3 linked regions of the Saccharomyces cerevisiae S288C genome follow. The gene in region 3 interacts genetically with the main gene of each other region. Each region holds a gene or a part of one and is shown on either strand. Other genes may lie near its edges. The genes, in order: AZF1, POL1 and GLN3.

Region 1 (3,760 bases), on a different chromosome or scaffold from region 3:
TAAAGATTCTGTTTTTATCAATATTAAGGGAGAGTGGGTACTATTTGGGCTAGAACTTTGTTCAAGCAAAGAAGGATTAAGTGCGTTTGAATTTGCCAGTAGAGCGAGGTCATATTACAACATAATTGGCTCACAGTTGCCCTGTGAAGATCCGAATACAATTGATTCAATGGGGTTAGGATTGTTGATAAAGAGCCTTATGGCTCCTTCTTGTCTGCCCAAAGATTGGATTGTCAATGTAAATATGATTTCAGATGGAAAGATAACAATCGAAAACTTCAGAAAAAGGCTAGAAAATACAGAAACTTGGCGTTCTAATCCTTTGATAAACTTTTATCAAGAATTGAGGGAGTTGCATATAAAGGACCCACAGGGAAAATTGGTTGTGATGTCAAACTTGGAAAATTTGTATTTAGAGTCAAGAGAGATTTTCCGTAATTTAACGCCTGGAATGATAGAAAATTTTATTATTCCAGAGCTTTGTGAAATTATAAAATTATTAATGACACAAAGCATCAGTAGTGCTGCCAGCCCTATAGGCATGAACTTCAACGCATCACATAAACTAGTACCATTCTTAGCGATTGTTTTAGACCTAACTTCTGAAACGAACACCTTTCCAGTTGGTTTCAACGACCTTATCACCCAAAGTTTTAAACTGCCAGATAGGCAAGTAAGATTTCTTTTACTAATATACCTACCCAAATTAATAGGTCCATTGAGCAAATCAGAGATCTCCAGTAGGATATATCCACATTTTATCCAAGGTCTGACCGACTCTGATGCCACTCTTAGATTACAAACACTGAAGACAATTCCATGCATTGTGTCATGTTTAACAGAGAGACAACTGAATAATGAGCTACTGAGGTTTCTCGCAAAAACACAGGTTGATTCTGACGTTGAAATCCGAACATGGACAGTCATCATAATAAGTAAAATCTCAACCATATTATCAACGTCAGTTGGTAATCGCTCGAATATTTTAGCTACGGCGTTCACAAAATCTTTGAAAGATCCTCAAGTAAAACCAAGATTGGCTGCTCTTTATGGGCTTGAGAAGTCGATTGAGCTGTTTGATGTGAACACAATCGCCAACAAAATTTTAACAGTCATTGCCCCTGGTTTATTAGATAAAAGTCCCATAGTAAGAGGCAGAGCCAAAATCCTGTTCGAAGAATATCTGGAAAAATTGGAAAAAGAAGCCCAACTTATTCAAACAAACGATAGTACTGCAGATTCGGAAGATGTGAAAGATATTGATTTTGAGAATTACGGTTGTGATGAAGAGGATATGAATAAAGAAGACAATTTGTTAGCCGCACAATTTTTAAATAATTTACGTTTAAATTCTCCCTCAGCAACAACACCAAGTAACATTACCGAGAGCGAAATTGATTCCGCCCAGGATGGAAGTGGATGGGACGACCTCAGCGATACCGATGGCTTTATTACAAATGGTACCACAGAATCCTTCGATGAAACAACAAACCCTGTAACAACCGCAAGCACCCCAAAATTATTCGGAAAACCTATTAAAATTAATAAAAGTTGGAATGATGAGTTGAATGATGATGGCTGGATTCAAGATGAAAGCGGCCCATCAAAGGTGCCTCAAAAACACACAAGGCCACAAAATTCAACGTTGGCAAAATCCATCGCTCCTAGCTCAAGGCTTTCTATCAAGAAGAAGAAAACAACGATCCTAGCACCAAGAAACATTGCTAGTAACTCTACTGTTACCACCAAATCGTCACTGTCCAATAAAACTGCAAGAAGTAAGCCTATAAGTAGTATCCGCGGCTCGGTAACCAAGAAAGGAAATGTTGACGGCTGGGATGATGATGGGGATTCAGACTCCTGGGATACGAATTGGTGATCCCAAGACTTATATAGCCCTACGTATTGTAGAAGGATATATTCAGTGTTAATCGTTATTTAGAAACATTACGCCCGTGCCCCGCGATTTCGCTTCTTTGAGAAGTGGAGGAAAAGAAGGGTCCCTTTAATTCCAGTAGAAATGAAGCATAAGCAAGAAGAGTCATCAGAAAAGGGAACCTTGTAGTACTATAGATGGTCCCACAGAGAAATTAATTGGGACAAAAACAGCTACACAAGCGATATACTTCAAAAGATTCAGATATTGAAAAATTACCAGCCATGCCTCCTCCAACTGCACAGTTCATGGGCCCTACGCAGGCGGGACAAAATGAAAGCCAAAATCAATCATCAGGCGAAGCTGGGGAGCAAAACCAGGAGCATGGGCAAGGCCCTACTCCTATTCTTAATCAAAGTCAACCGGCTTCTTCTCAACCGCAACATCAACAACAAAGGAATGAGTCGATTTCATATTATACAAATTTCAACCAGCCACGATATTCCACGGACGCCTCTATCAACTCATTCTTGAACATATCTGATAACGTACCAGTAACAAGTACAGGAGGACCTAGTTCTGGCGGCGCCTATTCCAATCTTCCACGATTATCCACTTCAAGTACACATCAACCGCCAGACCTGTCGCAAATCGGACGCGGCTTTTCCATTGTAAACAACCTCTTCCCACAACAACAGCAGCTTCAAAATCAGCATCGGCAACAGCAGCAACAACAACAACAGCAGTCGCACCAGCAGCCTCCCTTCAAGACCCCTTCATTTTCGACGGGATTAACGGGAAGTTCTTCTCAATATCAATTTTTACCAAGAAATGATAATACTTCGCAGCCACCTTCAAAAAGAAACTCTGTTTATCTTGGACCTAATGATGGGCCTGATTTTGAATTTTTCAGTATGCAGCAGTCACAGCAACCGCAGTTCCAGCCTAGCAGTAGAAGAGAATCAAACTCTATGAGACCTCCACTGTTAATACCTGCAGCAACTACTAAAAGCCAGTCCAATGGCACCAATAATAGTGGGAATATGAACACAAATGCAGATTATGAATCATTTTTTAATACTGGTACAAACAACAGTAATTCTAATCAGAACCCGTACTTTTTGAGTTCAAGAAATAATTCTTTGAAGTTTAATCCTGAAGATTTCGATTTTCAATTCAAAAGGCGGAATTCTTTTGTTAGAGGTACTTTGGACCATAGCAGCCAAAATGCGTTTATACCTGAATCAAGATTAAACTCACTATCCGTTAACAACAAAGCTAATGGTGATCCTGTCGCGGATAATGTTACCAATAACATGAAAGGAAAAAGTAATGAAGTTGACAATGATGATGGCAATGACAGTAGCAATAACAATAACAACAACAACAACAACAACAACAATGAAAACAACAATGACAACAATAATGATAATAACGACAATAGTATTAATTCCGCCACCAGTACTAATATCCCAAACCAAGAGGACCATAGCCTTGCTTCTACCGATACCACAAGCAATAGTAGGAAAGATCTAAAAGAAATAGAACAAAGACTTCGAAAACATTTGAATGATGAGGATAATTACTCTAGTGCTATATCAAGACCATTGGATAAAAACGACGTAATTGAAGGCAGTGAGGGATTGAACAAACATATAGACGAGTCTGGTATGCAACCTAATATTATCAAGAAAAGGAAAAAGGATGATTCTACTGTGTACGTCAAGAATGAGATGCCCCGTACTGATCCCCCGATGAGTAAAGACAATTCTACTTCTGCTGAAGGAGCAGCAATGGCAAACTTTTCTGGTAAAGAACCTCCTATACCTGACATAAGTTCAGTAAGTGATGATGCTACTAACCTGATAGGTGCAACAAAGGTCG
Region 2 (3,760 bases), on a different chromosome or scaffold from region 3:
AATAACAACAGCAATAATGGTAATGACGACCATAGCAACCACGACGTATTGCATGAGGACCCTTCTACCAATAATAGACAAAGAAATCCTCACTTCTTGACTCAAAGAAGGAATACTTTCCTAACTTCCCAATACGACCAATCAAAGTCTCGATTTTCGTCCAAAAACAAAAGAAATGGCAATAACGGCGAAACAAACAACTTTGGCGACAATATGCAAAATAACCATCCTTTTGAGCCAAACTTTATGGGAAGCCCTTCTCAGTTTCCCGCTGACGCAACTAATATGACATCAATCGACCATGGCGGCTTCACAAATGTTGACATTACATCAACTGAGAACAATACTACCGGTGACAATGGAGTGGATGCGCTATCAAATCTACTACATAGGACAACACACACACCGAACCGCTCCTCCCCCCTAAGCAATGTCACTTCTGCTCAAAATTCCTCTTCACAACAACGAAAACATTCGGAAAGCAAAGTCGATAGTAACAGCGATAATAACAGCTCCAACAAAGCCCCCAATATAACTGTTCCTGACTATTCAATTATACCAACCTCTGTTTTAGTAACTCTATTACCGAGGGTCAACGTGCCCAACGGCGCATATAACTCGTTGATCAGCGCGGGATTTGACAATGATCAAATAGATGCTATAGCCGCAATAATGGCGTATCATCATCAAAAAAAGATTAGGGAAAATAACAGTAATAATAATAAAAACATCAACACCAATGACAGTCAAGAGGCACCCATTCTAAAAAACATCAACGAACTTTTAAGTGTCTTAATACCACCCTCTCCGGCTGAAACTGCTGCGCCAACTACCTTATCAACGTCGCCTTCGTTCAATGAGCACGGTGTAGTAGCAGAGGCTTCTTTTCTAAGCTCCATTTTGGAACTGGGCATAAAGCATCCAAAAAGTAATAATATTCACAATCAACGACAACCTTCACGAAACGATCATAAAATATCAAGAGAGAGTGACGGTAACAATGGAAACGATAATGTCCATCATAATAACGCTGTTATTAAGTCAAGTACGACGCGTGGAGACGAAATTGCCAAGATACGATCCGAGCCAACTTTAAATGCAAGTTCTTCTGATCACAAGGAAAATAGTTTAAAAAGATCACACTCCGGAGATTTGAAAAATAAAAAAGTACCCGTCGACCGCAAGTATTCTGATAATGAAGACGATGAATATGACGATGCAGATTTACACGGCTTTGAAAAGAAGCAACTGATCAAGAAAGAGTTAGGGGACGACGATGAAGATTTATTGATACAGTCGAAAAAATCTCATCAAAAAAAAAAACTAAAGGAAAAGGAGTTAGAATCATCGATACATGAACTGACCGAAATTGCAGCATCCTTACAAAAACGGATACATACGTTAGAAACGGAAAACAAGCTTTTAAAGAATTTAGTTCTGAGTAGCGGTGAAACGGAAGGAATAAAAAAAGCTGAAAGCTTAAAGAAGCAAATTTTTGAGAAGGTTCAGAAAGAATAAAATAACAGACTATACAGTTTAATTATATATATATATATATATACGTGCATTTTTCTTAAAGAAATATAACTTTTTTCTTGTACTGCCTGCAATCTCTATTCTTCATTCATCACACATCTATTCAAACGCGTTAAAATTTTTTTGTTAGCCTATAAGTAAAACGCGTCGCGTGTATCCAATTTTACTGAATTAAATTCTTTACTCATTGGATGATATATATCTTCTTGGTCTAGACAACGAACACATACCAATTCAGACTCACGAGAAAAAAAACTGTCTTCACTCTGCTATTAGAAACCAAATAGTATCAAGGCATAAAATAAACAGTGGAAAATGTCTTCTAAAAGTGAAAAATTAGAAAAATTGAGAAAGCTGCAAGCCGCTCGAAATGGTACATCCATCGATGATTACGAAGGTGACGAATCAGATGGTGACAGAATATACGACGAAATCGACGAAAAAGAATACAGGGCCAGAAAGCGCCAGGAATTGCTGCATGACGATTTTGTTGTAGATGACGATGGTGTAGGCTACGTCGATCGTGGTGTCGAAGAAGATTGGAGGGAAGTTGATAACAGTTCAAGTGATGAAGACACTGGAAACCTTGCTAGCAAGGATTCTAAAAGGAAGAAGAATATAAAAAGGGAGAAAGACCACCAGATTACAGATATGCTGCGAACTCAACATTCCAAATCAACACTGCTAGCACATGCAAAAAAATCCCAAAAAAAAAGTATCCCCATCGATAATTTTGATGACATTCTTGGTGAGTTTGAATCTGGTGAAGTAGAAAAACCCAATATTTTACTGCCATCCAAATTAAGGGAAAATTTAAATTCTTCGCCGACTAGTGAATTTAAATCGTCAATAAAGAGAGTTAACGGAAACGATGAGTCAAGTCATGATGCCGGTATTTCTAAAAAAGTCAAGATTGATCCAGATTCAAGTACTGATAAATATTTAGAAATCGAATCATCACCGTTAAAATTACAAAGCAGGAAACTGCGCTACGCAAATGATGTACAGGATTTATTGGATGATGTGGAAAATTCCCCAGTAGTAGCCACAAAGAGACAGAATGTACTTCAAGATACGTTACTAGCAAATCCACCATCCGCTCAAAGTTTGGCTGATGAAGAAGATGATGAAGATAGTGATGAAGATATTATTCTGAAAAGAAGAACTATGAGAAGTGTGACAACAACTAGACGCGTGAATATAGACTCAAGAAGTAACCCTTCAACTTCACCGTTTGTCACAGCACCCGGAACGCCAATCGGTATTAAAGGACTAACTCCAAGTAAATCTTTGCAGAGCAACACCGATGTTGCTACACTTGCGGTTAATGTCAAAAAGGAAGATGTGGTAGATCCGGAAACTGATACTTTCCAAATGTTTTGGTTGGATTACTGTGAAGTGAACAACACTTTGATTTTATTTGGTAAGGTTAAACTAAAGGATGATAATTGTGTGTCAGCCATGGTTCAAATCAACGGTCTCTGTAGAGAGCTATTTTTCCTTCCAAGAGAGGGTAAAACACCTACCGATATACACGAGGAAATAATTCCGTTACTGATGGATAAATATGGACTGGATAATATCCGCGCTAAACCTCAAAAAATGAAATATTCGTTTGAGCTTCCTGACATTCCATCTGAAAGTGATTATTTGAAAGTCTTACTTCCATACCAAACACCGAAGTCCAGTCGAGACACCATTCCATCGGATTTATCTAGCGATACCTTTTATCATGTTTTTGGTGGGAATTCCAATATTTTTGAAAGTTTTGTTATTCAAAATAGGATTATGGGACCATGCTGGTTAGATATAAAGGGAGCAGATTTCAATTCAATTCGTAATGCTTCTCACTGTGCGGTTGAAGTTTCGGTAGATAAGCCTCAGAATATCACGCCTACTACAACAAAGACAATGCCTAATCTGAGATGTCTATCTTTATCGATTCAGACGTTAATGAATCCCAAGGAAAATAAGCAAGAGATTGTTTCGATAACGTTATCAGCATATAGAAATATCTCGTTGGATTCACCGATACCTGAAAATATAAAACCAGACGACTTGTGTACTTTAGTAAGGCCGCCTCAGTCAACTAGTTTCCCATTAGGTTTAGCTGCACTGGCAAAACAGAAACTACCCGGTAGAGTCAGGTTGTTCAACAACGAAAAGGCCATGCTATCTTGTTTTTGTGCTATGTTAAAAGTGGAAGACCCAGATGTTATCATAG
Region 3 (3,760 bases):
GTCGTTCTCAGGATCACTAATAAAGTTGGGATGCACCTTCTCATCGTCATCGTCATCGCGAAAGTAACTTCCCACACTAGTCGGTATCAAAGGAGAATCAAACCCTGAAATTTGTGAATCTGGCACAGTTTCAAACTCTTCATTCGGTGATGAGTTCACGCTTCCCATTTGTGACACTGCCCTTTTGTGCGTCTAACAAAATTTTATCACTTTATTGCTATTTACTTGAAAAATTATATATGAATATATTTCATAAAACGATGCTGACATAATATGTAACATAAAAAAAGGAATAACCTAAAACAAATACAAAGAAGACCCCATATAAATGAATATAAATGTATATTTTGCTTGAGCAAATGAAGAATGTACTACTTCTCAAGAGTAGCTGCTAGAACTTTTTGCTGTTGTATCTTTTTCTGTTTAGCCACAGCGTACAGCAGGCCAGACAGAAATCCTAGAAAGATAGAAAAGAAGGACAAAAAGTTTTTTGGAGCGTCAAAGAACACCAATCCCGCCAACGCTATGGGCAATTTGTTCAAAGCACCAACCATAGAATACGTTGTAGAGGAAGTTACACGAACACACCAGCCGGAACAGTACGATATCCCCACGGACATGAGCCCACTGATGACCATTGCTGCCAGTGAGTCGGCGGACAAGTTCACAGACAAATTCTTTGTGGACCAATCTTCCATAATGAAGGAAAAGACTAGCAGCAAAGGCAATGCCAGAACGTTGTTATAAAACATAGTATCATAGTCTTTAAAGTTAGTCAGCCGAATTCTCTTCCGCATAATCAAAACGAACAATGCAGACGAAATACAATTGGTGAACATCCAGAGGTACCCCGGATTCAACACAAAGATGGTTGACTCAACAAGTTCCTGATCGAGATCCTCCAAAGATGATGCTTTGATTGCAATGGCCTGCTGATCGCCCCAGGTGGCCACTACAGATGAAAGGACCATCATAATAAATGACGTCAACTCCATAGAAGTGACTTTTCCGCCAAAGAAGAGGACCTCGCCATAAGCAATGAGAATGATCGTCAGATTCTTGAAAATTGTGTAGATGGGCACGGCAAGGTATTGTAAGCTCTTTGACGACGTATAAATCATCAATACGAGCAGCAAAGAAATTGGAAACCAGTTTTTTACATCTGTCCTGTTCAAAGATCAAAAATTAGCAACGCCTACAATTCGTAGGATACATAGCGTCACAGTGCACACCAGTGATTGTACAAACAACATCACAAAGTTCATGTTAAAGTTGTCCAGGTTAACCACGAATTTGTTCGTTACTGTCATCAAAATCGAGGACGCGCAGTAAGATAAGATTGAAGCCGGCCCAGAGTTGGCCACTGATTCCGTCCATTCATGCTTATGCTTGCTCATAATTACCACACCTTCTTGATCTCTTTACAGCTTTTCAACCTTCCATTCTTGTACTCTATCTCTACCTGGCCCTTTAAACATTCTTAATATGATATATTCACATTTTTTGCTCTATTACCCGGCGGACAGGTTCCCGAAAGAAAGTGACATGGCAATGCTGAGAGAGTGGAAAGAGTCATCTTGCAAGACAGAGAAAGATGTTCAAGAGTGGTAAGCTAATGTCAGCGCAGTAGCCCATCCCACAATAACAGAGTGTGTAAGAAAGAGAGACGAGAGAGAGCACAGGGCCCCCTTTTCCCCCACCAACAAACAAATGCAAGACGACCCCGAAAATTCGAAGCTGTACGACCTGCTGAATAGTCATCTGGACGTGCATGGTCGAAGTAATGAAGAGCCGAGACAAACTGGTGACAGTAGGAGCCAGAGTAGTGGCAACACCGGTGAAAACGAGGAGGATATAGCATTTGCCAGTGGATTAAACGGCGGCACATTCGACTCAATGCTGGAGGCACTGCCCGATGATTTATATTTTACGGACTTCGTGTCTCCTTTTACAGCAGCTGCCACGACCAGCGTGACTACTAAGACGGTCAAGGACACCACACCAGCTACCAATCATATGGATGATGATATTGCGATGTTTGATTCACTTGCCACAACTCAGCCCATCGACATAGCCGCATCCAACCAACAAAATGGTGAAATTGCACAACTTTGGGACTTTAACGTGGACCAATTCAACATGACGCCCAGCAACTCGAGCGGTTCAGCTACTATTAGTGCTCCTAACAGCTTTACTTCCGACATACCGCAATACAACCACGGTTCCCTCGGCAACAGCGTCTCCAAATCCTCACTGTTCCCGTATAATTCCAGCACGTCCAACAGCAACATCAACCAGCCATCTATCAATAACAACTCAAATACTAATGCGCAGTCCCACCATTCCTTCAACATCTACAAACTACAAAACAACAACTCATCTTCATCCGCTATGAACATTACCAATAATAATAATAGCAACAATAGTAATATCCAGCATCCTTTTCTGAAGAAGAGCGATTCGATAGGATTATCTTCATCCAACACAACAAATTCTGTAAGAAAAAACTCACTTATCAAGCCAATGTCGTCCACGTCCCTGGCCAATTTCAAAAGAGCTGCCTCAGTATCTTCCAGTATATCCAATATGGAACCATCAGGACAAAATAAAAAACCTCTGATACAATGTTTCAATTGTAAAACTTTCAAGACACCGCTTTGGAGGAGAAGCCCAGAGGGGAATACTCTTTGCAATGCCTGCGGTCTTTTCCAGAAATTACATGGTACCATGAGGCCATTATCCTTAAAATCGGACGTTATCAAAAAGAGGATTTCAAAGAAGAGAGCCAAACAAACGGACCCAAACATTGCACAAAATACTCCAAGTGCACCTGCAACTGCCTCAACTTCAGTAACCACTACAAATGCTAAACCCATACGATCGAGGAAAAAATCACTACAACAAAACTCTTTATCTAGAGTGATACCTGAAGAAATCATTAGAGACAACATCGGTAATACTAATAATATCCTTAATGTAAATAGGGGAGGCTATAACTTCAACTCAGTCCCCTCCCCGGTCCTCATGAACAGCCAATCGTATAATAGTAGTAACGCAAATTTTAATGGAGCAAGCAATGCAAATTTGAATTCTAATAACTTAATGCGTCACAATTCGAACACTGTTACTCCTAATTTTAGAAGGTCTTCAAGACGAAGTAGTACTTCATCGAACACCTCAAGTTCCAGTAAATCTTCATCCAGATCTGTTGTTCCGATATTACCAAAACCTTCACCTAATAGCGCTAATTCACAGCAGTTCAACATGAACATGAACCTAATGAACACAACAAATAATGTAAGTGCAGGAAATAGTGTCGCATCCTCACCAAGAATTATATCGTCCGCAAACTTTAACTCAAATAGTCCTCTACAGCAGAATCTATTATCAAATTCTTTCCAACGTCAAGGAATGAATATACCAAGAAGAAAGATGTCGCGCAATGCATCGTACTCCTCATCGTTTATGGCTGCGTCTTTGCAACAACTGCACGAACAGCAACAAGTGGACGTGAATTCCAACACAAACACGAATTCGAATAGACAGAATTGGAATTCAAGCAATAGCGTTTCAACAAATTCAAGATCATCAAATTTTGTCTCTCAAAAGCCAAATTTTGATATTTTTAATACTCCTGTAGATTCACCGAGTGTCTCAAGACCTTCTTCAAGAAAATCACATACCTCATTGTTATCACAACAATTGCAGAACTCGGAGTCGAATTCGTTTATCTCAAATCACAAATTTAACAATAGATTAT

What was found.
Region 1: mutations in GLN3 (region 3) and AZF1 together harm fitness more than expected from each alone (negative genetic interaction), as found in Saccharomyces cerevisiae (3 studies listed by BioGRID).
Region 2: of GLN3 (region 3) and POL1, changing one enhances a phenotype caused by changing the other (phenotypic enhancement), as found in Saccharomyces cerevisiae (2 studies listed by BioGRID, with this or other methods).

Annotation. Positions count from the first base shown.
Region 1 is NC_001147.6:531,915-535,674, forward strand, and holds the start of AZF1 (Azf1p), read left to right. Parts: upstream 1-2,160; coding exon 2,161-3,760. Other genes in the region: COPI-interacting protein CEX1, read left to right, coding at 1-1,879. UniProt on the Saccharomyces cerevisiae protein: Transcription factor involved in the diauxic shift. In the presence of glucose, activates carbon and energy metabolism genes, and in te presence of glycerol-lactate, activates genes needed for cell wall maintenance.
Region 2 is NC_001146.8:428,236-431,995, forward strand, and holds the start of POL1 (DNA-directed DNA polymerase alpha catalytic subunit POL1), read left to right. Parts: upstream 1-1,851; coding exon 1,852-3,760. Other genes in the region: MET4 (Met4p), read left to right, coding at 1-1,518. UniProt on the Saccharomyces cerevisiae protein: Catalytic component of DNA polymerase alpha, which in complex with DNA primase (DNA polymerase alpha:primase) constitutes a replicative polymerase. POL1 has a role in promoting telomere replication during interaction with CDC13.
Region 3 is NC_001137.3:228,085-231,844, forward strand, and holds the start of GLN3 (nitrogen-responsive transcriptional regulator GLN3), read left to right. Parts: upstream 1-1,710; coding exon 1,711-3,760. Other genes in the region: Smc5-Smc6 complex subunit KRE29, read right to left, coding at 1-168; FMP49 (Fmp49p), read left to right, coding at 367-747; HVG1 (putative GDP-mannose transporter), read right to left, coding at 372-1,121; YER039C-A (uncharacterized protein), read right to left, coding at 1,179-1,397. UniProt on the Saccharomyces cerevisiae protein: Positive nitrogen regulatory protein. Required for the activation of transcription of a number of genes (including the allantoin pathway genes) in response to the replacement of glutamine by glutamate as source of nitrogen.